Yarrowia lipolytica: one gene and its partner. The main gene of each other region encodes a partner of the protein of the gene in region 2 in a complex. Links are inferred from orthologs where the notes say so. Each region holds a gene or a part of one and is shown on either strand. Other genes may lie near its edges.

What was found. The genes of interacting proteins can lie anywhere in the genome.
Region 1: YALI1_E15274g (region 2) and YALI1_F13579g share a complex: the UniProt entries of both Saccharomyces cerevisiae proteins name them as parts of the mitochondrial large ribosomal subunit. The link is inferred for Yarrowia lipolytica from reciprocal best matches to the Saccharomyces cerevisiae genes MRP20 and MRPL6.

Annotation. Positions count from the first base shown.
Region 1 is NC_090775.1:1,355,083-1,360,538, reverse strand, and holds YALI1_F13579g (mitochondrial 54S ribosomal protein uL6m), read right to left. Parts: upstream 2,565-5,456; coding exon 1,953-2,564; downstream 1-1,952. Other genes in the region: YALI1_F13602g (mitochondrial 54S ribosomal protein uL3m), read right to left, coding at 1-267; YALI1_F13597g (uncharacterized protein), read left to right, coding at 830-1,501; YALI1_F13550g (uncharacterized protein), read right to left, coding at 3,069-5,456. UniProt on the Saccharomyces cerevisiae protein: Component of the mitochondrial ribosome (mitoribosome), a dedicated translation machinery responsible for the synthesis of mitochondrial genome-encoded proteins, including at least some of the essential transmembrane subunits of the mitochondrial respiratory chain.
Region 2 is NC_090774.1:1,524,771-1,530,463, reverse strand, and holds YALI1_E15274g (mitochondrial 54S ribosomal protein uL23m), read right to left. Parts: upstream 3,080-5,693; coding exon 2,291-3,079; downstream 1-2,290. Other genes in the region: YALI1_E15318g (uncharacterized protein), read left to right, coding at 1-1,841; YALI1_E15256g (uncharacterized protein), read right to left, coding at 3,336-4,853. UniProt on the Saccharomyces cerevisiae protein: Component of the mitochondrial ribosome (mitoribosome), a dedicated translation machinery responsible for the synthesis of mitochondrial genome-encoded proteins, including at least some of the essential transmembrane subunits of the mitochondrial respiratory chain.

The DNA.
Region 1 (5,456 bases), on a different chromosome or scaffold from region 2:
CACCACCTGGCACAGATCAATCTCCAGCACCGTGGCGGGCATGTGCACGCCGTTCTCGTCGTACCACGAGATCATGCCTCGCTTGAACGCCAGAGCTCCGGTTCGAGACACCAGCTGCTTTCGGGCGTAGGCGGCCGCAGGCGAGTTGTTTCGAGCGGGAGCCTCGGCGGCGGGGACGTTGGCGTTGGGCGAGATGAGCTGGGCCACGCCGCGGCTGAACACGCGCACGGGAGTGGCCTCTGCCATGAGACGGAGTCGAGGCAACATTTTTGTGTGTGTGATCAGATCTGGGTGGTGGTTCTGCAATGTCAAAATCTTGGGAAATTTCACGGTAGGGTAACTTTGAAGCTAGGTGGGAGGACCAACCTGCGTTTACTTAGGAACCGAGGGGGGGTAATGACAACGGCTGAGAAAGAGCTGAAATACCATGGTGGACTCTGCAAGTTGATTGCCGGTGTCATTTTTTTCAATCCCACACTTTTTGGTGCTGGTTTGAAGTCATCTGTTTCCTCGATACAATTGTAGCTATTTCTCAAGTAACGCTGAGTCTGTTTGTTAAGTAAGTTAATCTGAGGTGAAAGTAATCTTAAGCGGACAGTATGACCATCGATAGGGGTCTTTTTCCCCCCAATTGCCCATAAACCAACCCACATCTACAGTGCAAATCTCTCTGTTAGTTCTTTCCGGTGCAACTTGCTCCCAAACACCTGCTACTGGTGGTCTTTGGAGAGCTCCTTCTACCCACACCCATACAAACTATAAAAGCAAATATACCGTACGTCTTACAATATCAGAGCAGTCCACCACACACCTCGCACACACTCACACAATGCTTCGACTACTGCGTCCCCAACGAGCTCTGCCTTCGTTGCTGCGACCTCTCTCGGTCGCCCGACCCCTGTCCACAACCAGCCGTCTGTGGCTCCACCAGCAGTCGACCGACGCCAAGAAGGACGACGAAAAGCTGCTGCCCGAAGACCGAAACCTGCGACGTTACGAGGGCCACACCTTTGAGCCGTTCACGCCCGAAAAGGTGCCCAATGCACCTGTCACCGTGGACACGGAGCTGCCTAACATTACCAGCCACAAGATGCGCCGATGGGCCGGATTTGGTCTGTTTGTGGTCATCATGACCGTGTCTCTGGCCTTCTCCTTCAACTACGAGAAGATGTCGTCTTCGCAGGTCTCATCTTGCATGTACACGCTCCGAAAGTCGCCCCTGGCCAACGAGGAGCTGGGCTCGGGTATCCGATTCGCCAGTGCCTACACCTGGGTGTCGGGAACCATTCGTCCTCTTGTTGGAAAGGTGGACTTCTCCTTCCCCGTCAAGGGAAACAAGGCCGAGGCCATCATGCATTTCAACTCGCGACGAGCCTCCGGCCGAGAAAAGTTCCGAGTGCTCGAGTGGTCTCTGACCTTCCCAGACGGACGAGTCGTCAACCTGGCCGACTCACTCATTGATCCCCTCATCATTGATGAGGAGGAACATCTTGTTAACTAGACCTTGTCATGTTGACGAATCCTAGAATGCGACGCTACTGTCGACATTCAGCTTATGTACATAGAATGACTAGCCTGCTTGAGTTGTAGACGTGAATGTAGCGGCCTATGGATCCATTTTGGGATAATATCAATAATGAGAGTCTCTAGAGCGAGCCGTTTGTTGGATATGATATATACATTAGCCTGTAGTACGAGAACTGCTTCGGTATCTTATCGGACTGTCAGACTCAGATACTCATTCAGACGAGTTGGTATCCTTGTCATCGCCTCTTGTCGGGGTATCGTTCGAGATATGTCATGCGAGGGTATAGCCAAAGCGGCGTGCGCTACTGTACAAGTACAGGTTCTGTTTCTACAGGTTTGTTGGTTGCGCGATTCATGCTAACCTCAACAGAAGCCACATGCTACTGGTGTCGTGTCAAATCTTTTCATAACCAATCTATTTACATTTATTTCACCTTGGTGGCCTTTCGGGTGATGGTCTCGTCGTCGAGGTAGATTCCCTTGCCCTTGTAAGGCTCCGGGGGTCGCTTGAGTCGAATGGAAGCTCCAAACAGCTTGACCTGCTGTTTGTCAGCGCCCTTGATGAGAATTCGAGTGGGGATGGGTGTAGTCACCTCGATGCCAGCAGGAATGACAAAGTTGATGGGGTGGGAGAAACCGCATCGAACGGAGACAATGGGAGCGCCGGTGTGGGCGTCCTTCTCGACTCCAGCTCGGTATCCAGTTCCCACCAAGGTCAGAAGAGCGACATGGCCATCAGTCACACCAGTCACATGGTTGTTGATGAGGCCTCGCATGGTGCCCCACATGGCTCGCTGCGTCTTGTTGGTGGCGTCGTTAACCGACACAGACAGCACAGAGCCGGAGCTCATGGTGTCCTGGGACGATGCAATGTTGACAAAAGTCGGCTTGGACATCTGGACTCGTCCCAGAGGACCCTCAACCACCACCTCAGTGGGCGAGATCTGCAGCGTCACCGACTCGGGAACGAGAATGGGCTGCTTTCCAATGTAGCTCAGCACTCGCGCCGACGTGGAAAAGGCACGGGTTCGCAGCATTTTTGTGTGTGAGATGATCTGGATGATTGGCGATGGATCAAGAGGTGTAGTTTTTTCACGCTGCGGTTCGATTCCCGCAGGTGCTAACTTGAACTTTATATGCACTATGTAATTGACCAGAAACAGCCTACCAATAAGTAATGATGCAATAAGAGAATATTAGGAAAATAGAATCCCTCAATAGACCATTTGGAAGGGTTCATCAAGTTATTTGCCGCCCAAATCTCAGGTAAAGTCGATCAAATAAGACTGTATATTATCCCCAACTAATTCCAACTAACAAAAGCAACTTTAGTGAACTCTAGTTGAGAAGAAACAAGAAACAGAAGAAAGAAAGAAAAAATACTGTAACAACAATCATAAGCTGCAAATGCTCATGAAAGCCTTAACCGTAGGCGTATTAGTAGTTGCTGGTTCTATCTTCGATCGCTCATCTACCCAAAATGTATTGTCATATCGATACCGATACTGTCTATTGTATATCAACGTTAGCCATGCCACAGGTTAGCACGAGTCAGAACAGTTCTCGTCCCCTTCAAACAGCTGGGAAATGCTCTCCCACGCTCGGGACGGTCTGCTGGACACGGAACCGTCGGTGACACTGGTGGCGGTGGATACGACAGAGTTTCGCAGTCCATCAACACTGGCTCGACGACTCTGGACAGGAGAAACTCTTCGTGAAGACGACGAAGACATGTTGTTGAGGAACTCCGTCTCTCGCACATCGTCGTCGTCGCTGTCCCAGTGGAAACGCACATTGTTGGGTCCATCAAAGTACGACGGATCAGCGTTTCCGGGGATTTTGGTCCCAGGGGAGGTGTTCTGAGACACAGAACCGCGCCCAGGATTGTACAGAGGCGCCTGATTGGCTCCCCCCATAGACATGGAGTGGGTCAGATGCGGATGATAAAGAGGAGAGGTCGGCAGAGAGCCCAGATTGAATGCAGACTTGGGTCGTCTCGACCGCTCACTTGCAGATCGGTGCAAGTTGACATACGAGCTCTGAGGCGACGACTTGGGCGTCTCGTGAATAGGCTCCTTGTCGAACACAGCGGCCGCATCACTCTTGATACGTGCATGAGAAAACGACTTTCGGTTCCGAAGACGCGTATGTGCTGTGGTTGCCGATGAAGCAGACATGTGACGAGAAGGAGGTTTGAGCGCAGAAATCTGGTTGGACGACTGCGAATGCTTAAAAGTACCTTGCGGGGATGTACGTCCTGATCCAAGCTTGGAGGGGAGCATACGGGCCTTGAGTTCGTGGATAGCTCGATCCAGCGCCAACTCAATGGCACAGTGGTTTCGAATGAGCGAGATCTTTCGATAAGTGGCCTGGGCACCTCGTCGGTTGGTGTCCTTCATGTATGCGGCAGTGGGGTTAGTAAGAATTCCCGGGAGCTCTGAGAGATGGACCTGGGGCAGGATTGTGATGTCTCCCTTGTATCGCTGGGACAGTACGCCTCCCATTTTCGAACACAGGTTCTTGAAGATGCCAAACTCGTACAGCACCTGCAACTGGTGCATGACCTCGTCGGTGACCAGCGTCTTGAAGTTGTGCCAAAGCTTGAGCGTGTAGATTTCGTCGACCGAGTCCGGGTTGGCCTTGTCTTCTGTGAGCTTGAGGAAAGGAGCAACGTGAGGGTTTACCTGCGAGACAATGAAATGATTTACATTGAACATTTCTGAGAGACGCGCAATGGGCACGTCGGCATAGACGGATCCGTCAATGAACCGCAGCGAAGAAGCGTTCCAGGTCTGAATAGCTCCTGTTTTGGGCTCCTTTTCAAGCAGAGTGTAGGCATTGAAAATGAGAGGCACCGAGCAGGAGGCGCAGACAGCCGACCAAATGAGTACGTTGGGGGCCGTCAGGTAGTTGAGCAAACGAGGCATTTCGTAGATGCCAGCAGACGATACCGTAACGTTGAGAATACGGCGAGTCCGGTTGTAGGCCTCCAGAAAGGTCATGTCGCCAAATAATTCTCGCATAGTGTCCTGCATATATCTGTTGTCGAGTAGCGATCCATGTTTGAGCATTCGAGACACTCGTTCGAGCACCGTGTCTTCGTTTCCGGACTCTTCGAAAATGTCAAAGTCTCGCTCCATGAGCTCGGTGATGAAAGCCTCGTGTTCTTCGTCTTTGTGAATGCACAGTCCCGCGGCCATGATTGAGCCTGCCGACGAACCCGATATGACGTGGGGCAAGAGCGATGTGTCTGAGAGGGCCTGGAGAACACCGGTGTGGAGCAGACCGAGACATCCTCCGCCGGACAGCAGAAGGGCAGTTCGTCCAAATGCCTTTCTGGTGTTGAGCAGCTCCGTGAGCAGCTCCTGGTCCGGGATCTTGTCGTTTCCGGCTGCCAGGAGCGCGTTGAGAGCCAGTTCGCATTCCAGAATGTAGTCTTCGATGAGTCGTTTGGTTCCGGTAAAGGAGTTGTGGTAGAGCTTGACGTCTCCGAGGTTGCCGAGGTTTCTACTCCACGTTGTTCGCACGAGGTAAAGCAGTCGGGTGGTGTCGTTATTGGTTCGGGCGTGTCTCAGTTCGTCCAATCGGAGTCGGACGTATTCGTAATCGTAAGCTGGACACTCGTCTCTTTCCTTCCATTCCTGGTTGCCGAGCAGATAGTCGAGTTCGCTGGACGCCTTGAGCCAGTCAAAGTACGACTCGGCGTTTTCCTGGTCCTCTAGCAGCTTTTTGATGATGGACCGTTTATCGATCCGCAGTTTGGCCTCTGAAGTCAAGGCGTTGACGATACCCGAAAGCCCCGACTGTTGGGCCAGCGTGATACCTGTGTCGACAAACGACTTGAGGTAGCCGTCTCCAAGCAGTTGGTAGAGCATGAGCAGCAGTTGGTGGACGGTTGCGGCGATGAAGGCGAAAAAAAAGTGGATGTG
Region 2 (5,693 bases):
TGACACCTGCAGACATTGCGTCATTGTGTTTGTCTCTTCTGACAGCATCGCCCGCTGAAAGATCACGCGAAGACAATCTTTCTGTATCCTCCGGAACTAAGGACAAGGAGAAGGACAAGGAAATTGTTACTCGATCACGAGGTACGTCTTTGAGTGAGTCGAAACGTCAGTTTTCAATCACTTCAATTCCTGACCGAGAATCTACTCCTTCCAGTCAAGTGACAACTTCAACAGAGTCACAAGTTGCTGCTGGAGAGCTGCTCTCGCCTACGTTGACATCTACATCTGCCACTGGTCAGCTTATGGATCTTCAGGCCCGTCACCAGTCTCTGTACGGCAGAAAGGCCGACTTTCCTCCTCCAGTATCCATTTCCACACTTACTCTTGATGATAGCGATTCTCAGGGTCGAGAAGAGAGTCCTGTTTCTCCACTGACTCGATACCAGAAACATTCCAGTCTAGGAGCACCCTCAGCCTCTATTGAGGGTGTCCTTGAGTCAGGAACTAACTCCAGCCCTGCGATGAGCCCAACTCAGTTGCCTGTCGGTTCCCCCATTCTCAGAGGAGACTCTACTTCCGAACAGGCCGATATTTTGGCTTATTATCAGCGAGAGCTATTGCTGATCAAGAACGAGCTTGATTTTGTCTGTTACTTGGACTACCACAACCAGTTCCGCATCCGCCAACTCAAGGAACAGCTTCACAGTGCTCTTAGACAAGATATTGACGTTCAGAACCTCGTCACATCCAATCAAAAGCTCAAGCGTCAGTCTGAGCAGCTCAACTCGCAGTTGGTGAAGATGAAAGAGCTCGGAAACACGCTAAGAACACAAAAGGTACAGCACGAAGGTACGCTGACAAAACGTAACCGAGAACTGCGTCTTCAGTGTGACGCGCTGACTGAGGAAACTGCCAAAACCAACCTCGAGTTTGAGCACATGCAGGCTGAGAACCAGAGACTGTATGCTGCAGCTATGGCCAAGGAGGCTGCTGTCACACAGCTGGAGCTCAAGGTCGAATCTCTGGAAAATGAGAATCGATTGATTAACGAGTATAGAGACAAGCTGAAAAGCCTCGAGGCCTCCGCCGAATCTTCATCTGACAACATACGGGGCTCCGAGACACAATCGTCCAACTCAGATCTTCACATTGAGCTGGAGAAAACTAAGATTGACTTAGGAGTCCTGAAACACGAGAAGGAAACAATGGAGAAACGGTTGCGAGGCGAGATCGCAGAACTTGAAGAGCAGATGACAAACATTGAAAAGCAGACTCAGCCCTCACACAAGGTGCTCGAGATGCTTGAGACTATCAAACAGGAGGCTGAAAATCGGTACCATCAGCTGTCAGTTAGTCATCAAGAGCTGTCTCAGCGGTACCAAGATCTGGACGAACGATTCCGAACATACGCCGCGTCTTCAGAGGCCGAGAACCTGTCTCCTGGCGCTGGTGAGCTGTTCAACAACACTAACCAAAAGAGTCTGCTTGGTTACGACGTGGAGTCCATTGGAGAGTCTTCTGGGAACTCCCACAGAACCACCAAGCAGTCGTCAGCGTCTTTAGCCGGCTCGGACTCGGCTTACTACCGAGGAGTGCCCATTGGAGGCAACTCGAAGACACCTTCTCCTGCAGTTGAGCACTTGGGCATGAACTTTGGAGGCCACGGCAGCCACGCAACATCTGCTACTAACATCCCCCAGCCCCAGCCTCCTTCGCATTCGCACTCTACATCTCAGGATGAGGACTCTTCTCGGCCACGAGCTCGAGGGCGGGGAGGATGGCAGAATGCTGCTAGAAAGAGCGAATCCAAGAAGATCAACTCTTTCCGGGGTTTCTTATAAGGAAAACTGTGGCGCACAGTGGCGATGCGAAGGAAAAGGAACGCGTTAGCTGTATATATAATATTATTGGAGGTATGGACATGAATGGGGGAGACCTTTGTAGACGATTGGGTGTTTACAGTAACACCGCATTTCGCCTTTATGGTTAAGCAGATCATCCAAGTGAGCATCGACGATTGTACATGCTCAATCTATCAGGTCAAGTATTACTTCGTAAGATACGTACTTCTAGCTGCTGTACTTGTGATATGAACTCATGTTCAACACTTTGCTGTAGTTGTACTGTAACAACCCAGTGTACACTCATCTAATGTTTCCTTATAGACGTGATGGTAATAGTATGCTCGTAATAGATAACATGTTGAGCATATTCATTCTCTGCATTCCCATACTCATTCTCACTCTCTACAGTGTTTGCTATCATAACATATCCTTTCTATATACAGAGACTAGTTTGTCTTAGGCTGGGGAATGCCAGCCTGCTTGTTCTTGGCCAGGTAGAAGGCGATGTTTCGCATCTTCTCCTGCTGAGCCTCGGCCTCGGCCTCTCGTCGCTTGGAGCCGCCAAGCTTGGATGCCACCTTCTGGGCCACGAAAGGTGATCCGGCCTTCTTGTAGGGGCCCATAATTCCCCCAAAGGCAGTAGAGGGTCGATCTCGACTGGACCCAAGGGAATCAAGGCCGGTGACCTCGTCCATGAGCTTCTTGGTCTCTCTTGCCGACTCCTCCATCTTGGCCAGAAAGCCGTCAGTGTCCTCGGGCCACACAAAGGGCTCCTCCATCTCAATAGTCATCTTCTTGATCATTCGCTTTCGGTATCGGGGTCGGGTGGGGTTTTCTCGCTCAAATGCGGCGGGGAAAACCACGGACCGCACGTTGAGCGCTCGCAGACCGTAGACGTTGTACAGGTAGTCTCGCAGTTCCATCTTGTTCATGTGCAGAGGAGTGAGAAAGGACGCCTGGTAGGGGGTCAGCTTGGCATTGGGTCGCACAAGAATAACCTGCTCCTTAGGGAACCACACCTCCCGCTTACCCAGCGCGAAATGGGCGTCGCCAGACTCGATGCCCTGCTCCAGCTTGGCAACTCGCTCTTCCTGGTTCAAGGGTCGATGCAGAGGCAGCCCGCCCTTGTACTTGTTGGCGTCGATGCCGGAGGCCTGCTTGGTGGGCAGAGTGATGGTAGGTCGCTGTAACTTGGCGACCGTTGCGCCGAATCGAGACACCCCGGAAAGTCGCATTTTGTGTGTATGTGTTTCGGGTGTTTGAAAGCTTTCTTGATCCCAGTCGGCCCAGAGCCATGCAGTATTTTTCACTGCGGTTAGGGTTTGAGGAGGTGAGGGCAAGTGCGTTTGGCTGTGTGGTTGTTGGTTCGATTACAATATATGCATATATAAAAATCTACTAATACTTCGGCTACTCAGAGATACTTGTACAACAAGTTAAAATTGTAATCATCTATTGTCACATATATAAATACTTGGCTCGGTTGTTTTGTCACTTCGACTTGGTCATAGACATCCATCGAGTTCCATCAAGATCAAACAAATGAACATCGACTGGGAACGTGACTCCCACAGCTTGAAGCATTCGCAAGCTCTGGAAACAGGCCAACAGCTTGTTGTAGAACCGACGATCCGTTGCTTCCATTGCGCACGACTTGCGGGCCATCAACTTACGCTCCTTTCGTGAGTACCTTCGCAGAGCAAACACTCCCTCGTCGTTCCATGCTTCCTTCAAGTACTTGACCACCCTATCCCTCATGTGATGGGCGTCAAATTCAAGTTTGGTGTTTCGGACGTTGGGAGACGTGGCCATGATTTCTATCCAAATGGCGTTGATCAGATCCGAAGTCTTCCACGTCTTGACCGCTCGCAAAAGCTCCTCCTTTTGGAACAGCTGGTAATGTGAACCGGTCTTGTTGTATCTTGCTCTCTCGTGGTCGGTAATAGGCACGTCCATCTCTCCTAACGTTTCTCCAATCCGCACAAACTCACGCACATGAGATGTCACAAAGTCCTTTTCGGGGAACACCTGCATCAGTCTCTGGGCACAGATCTCGTACGCCACAGATCGCCACCTTCGTCCAGCGTCAAAGGCATACTCAAACTCCTTGGGCTCACACATGACGGGTAGCAGCACGTATCCGTATCCATACTCGATCCATGCGTTCGCAGCTGTATGCATTAACAACTCGTCGTGCTGTTGGCCAAAGATCTGGTATGCTCTTCGAGTGACAGGTTCGGCGAGATATTCGCCTACAGATGAGTAACTGGCCTTGGCTAGCAGCTGTTGTTGCTGTTGTGAAAACTCTAGGTACCCCTCTTCCTCCTCGTACTTTTTCGCTTGTGAAGGTCCCTTTCCACTGTGTTTCATGACAGAGTATGCCAGTAGGGTAGGTTTGACTCCGATCCAGTTGGCGACTGTTCGTGAGACTGGTAGGGCATACAGAACCGAGTTCTCCAACCCTCCTACCAGGGTGTTGACAACGTGCACGTTTTCCGGAAAGTCGAACGCGCAGAAACCTGAGTCGTTGGAGATGATGTGAACGGCCTTGTTGGAGTTCAGTTTGGCGTAGTTGAAGACCAGACAGGCCAGATCCCGGTCTGCCTCGCCTGGAGACACCAAGCACGGGACATTTGGGAACTTGGACTGGATCGTATCGAGACACAGAGCTCCACAAAGAACGGTCAGAGCGAGACTCTGGGCATGCAGAGCCGTGGGGAGGGACTCCATGGCCCGTTTGCGTCTGCCGTCCATTTTGTCTGTGGGCACCAGGCCGTCAAACAGCACGAGCTGAATATCCCATTTGTGTTGGCCGATCCAACAGTTGAAGAGCTCCTCCAACTTCATGGCCACGCCACGCATGTCGTAACGGCTGCCTGGATCAACCATGTTGGCGATTTGGTGGGCCATGATGTGCCCGTCCACGAAGACAACACCTTTGCCGATCTGGTCCAACGTCAGCGGCGTGAACCGCTCTCTCATAGTGCTAAAGTAGCCTTTGATTCCCATTTTTCGTCGAGTGGAATCAATTGCAGCGCCAGAGACACCACCCCAACATTATAAACTGCCAGCCTCGGGCTAGACCTCCGGAGCTAGATTTTTTGCTTGCATCCCTAGCGCGCTACTAGGTCGGTAGTTTAATTAGAGCTTGTTGGTGGATGTGCAAAACAAGGGGCTCGGGGCTTGGCTGACTCTCTGGAGAGGCGGTGTGGGCGAAGGACAGACGACATGGCGCGCTTTGGCGTCTCCCCGACTGCCTGTGGCGTAGTTTGCTGCCAAGCGTCCTCTTATCTCGGACTTGTCTCTGCGGTATATCTTAGGTTACACTGTCGTTGGTTCGTAGGTTACGAATGTACCATCGGTTATTAGAGACGGGTGTATTGAGAGTGAATGGGGATATTTTGTGGTGATGAAAAGTCGATTATTTCCGCCTCCAGTATGCCGCGCGGTAATTTCAAGTCTCATAATCATGACTGTACGTCCCAATTATCGCAGCGTGGGCTATGTTCCTGGCTGTGTCGTGTACATACTGTACAAACAGTATATACTCACACTCACATTTAGTTATGCGTCTATATTTAGCTCGCTTGTGCATAACCATAAGTGAGATTGAAACGGCGTGACTTGATCATGTGGAGTGAGGAAGAAAGGAGTCTGTACAGGTTTTGGCGGGTGTAGACATTATGTGAGGGGTTTGAGAGCAATATGTTTGTTCTACAAATAGCGCAGAGCAATTTGGACCGCGTAAATCCCATTTCTTACTCAGCATGAACCACATCACCACTCCATTGCCTGTCTCACGTCCGTATGTAACCCCACCATGGTCAATACACGTTTACGTTAGACACG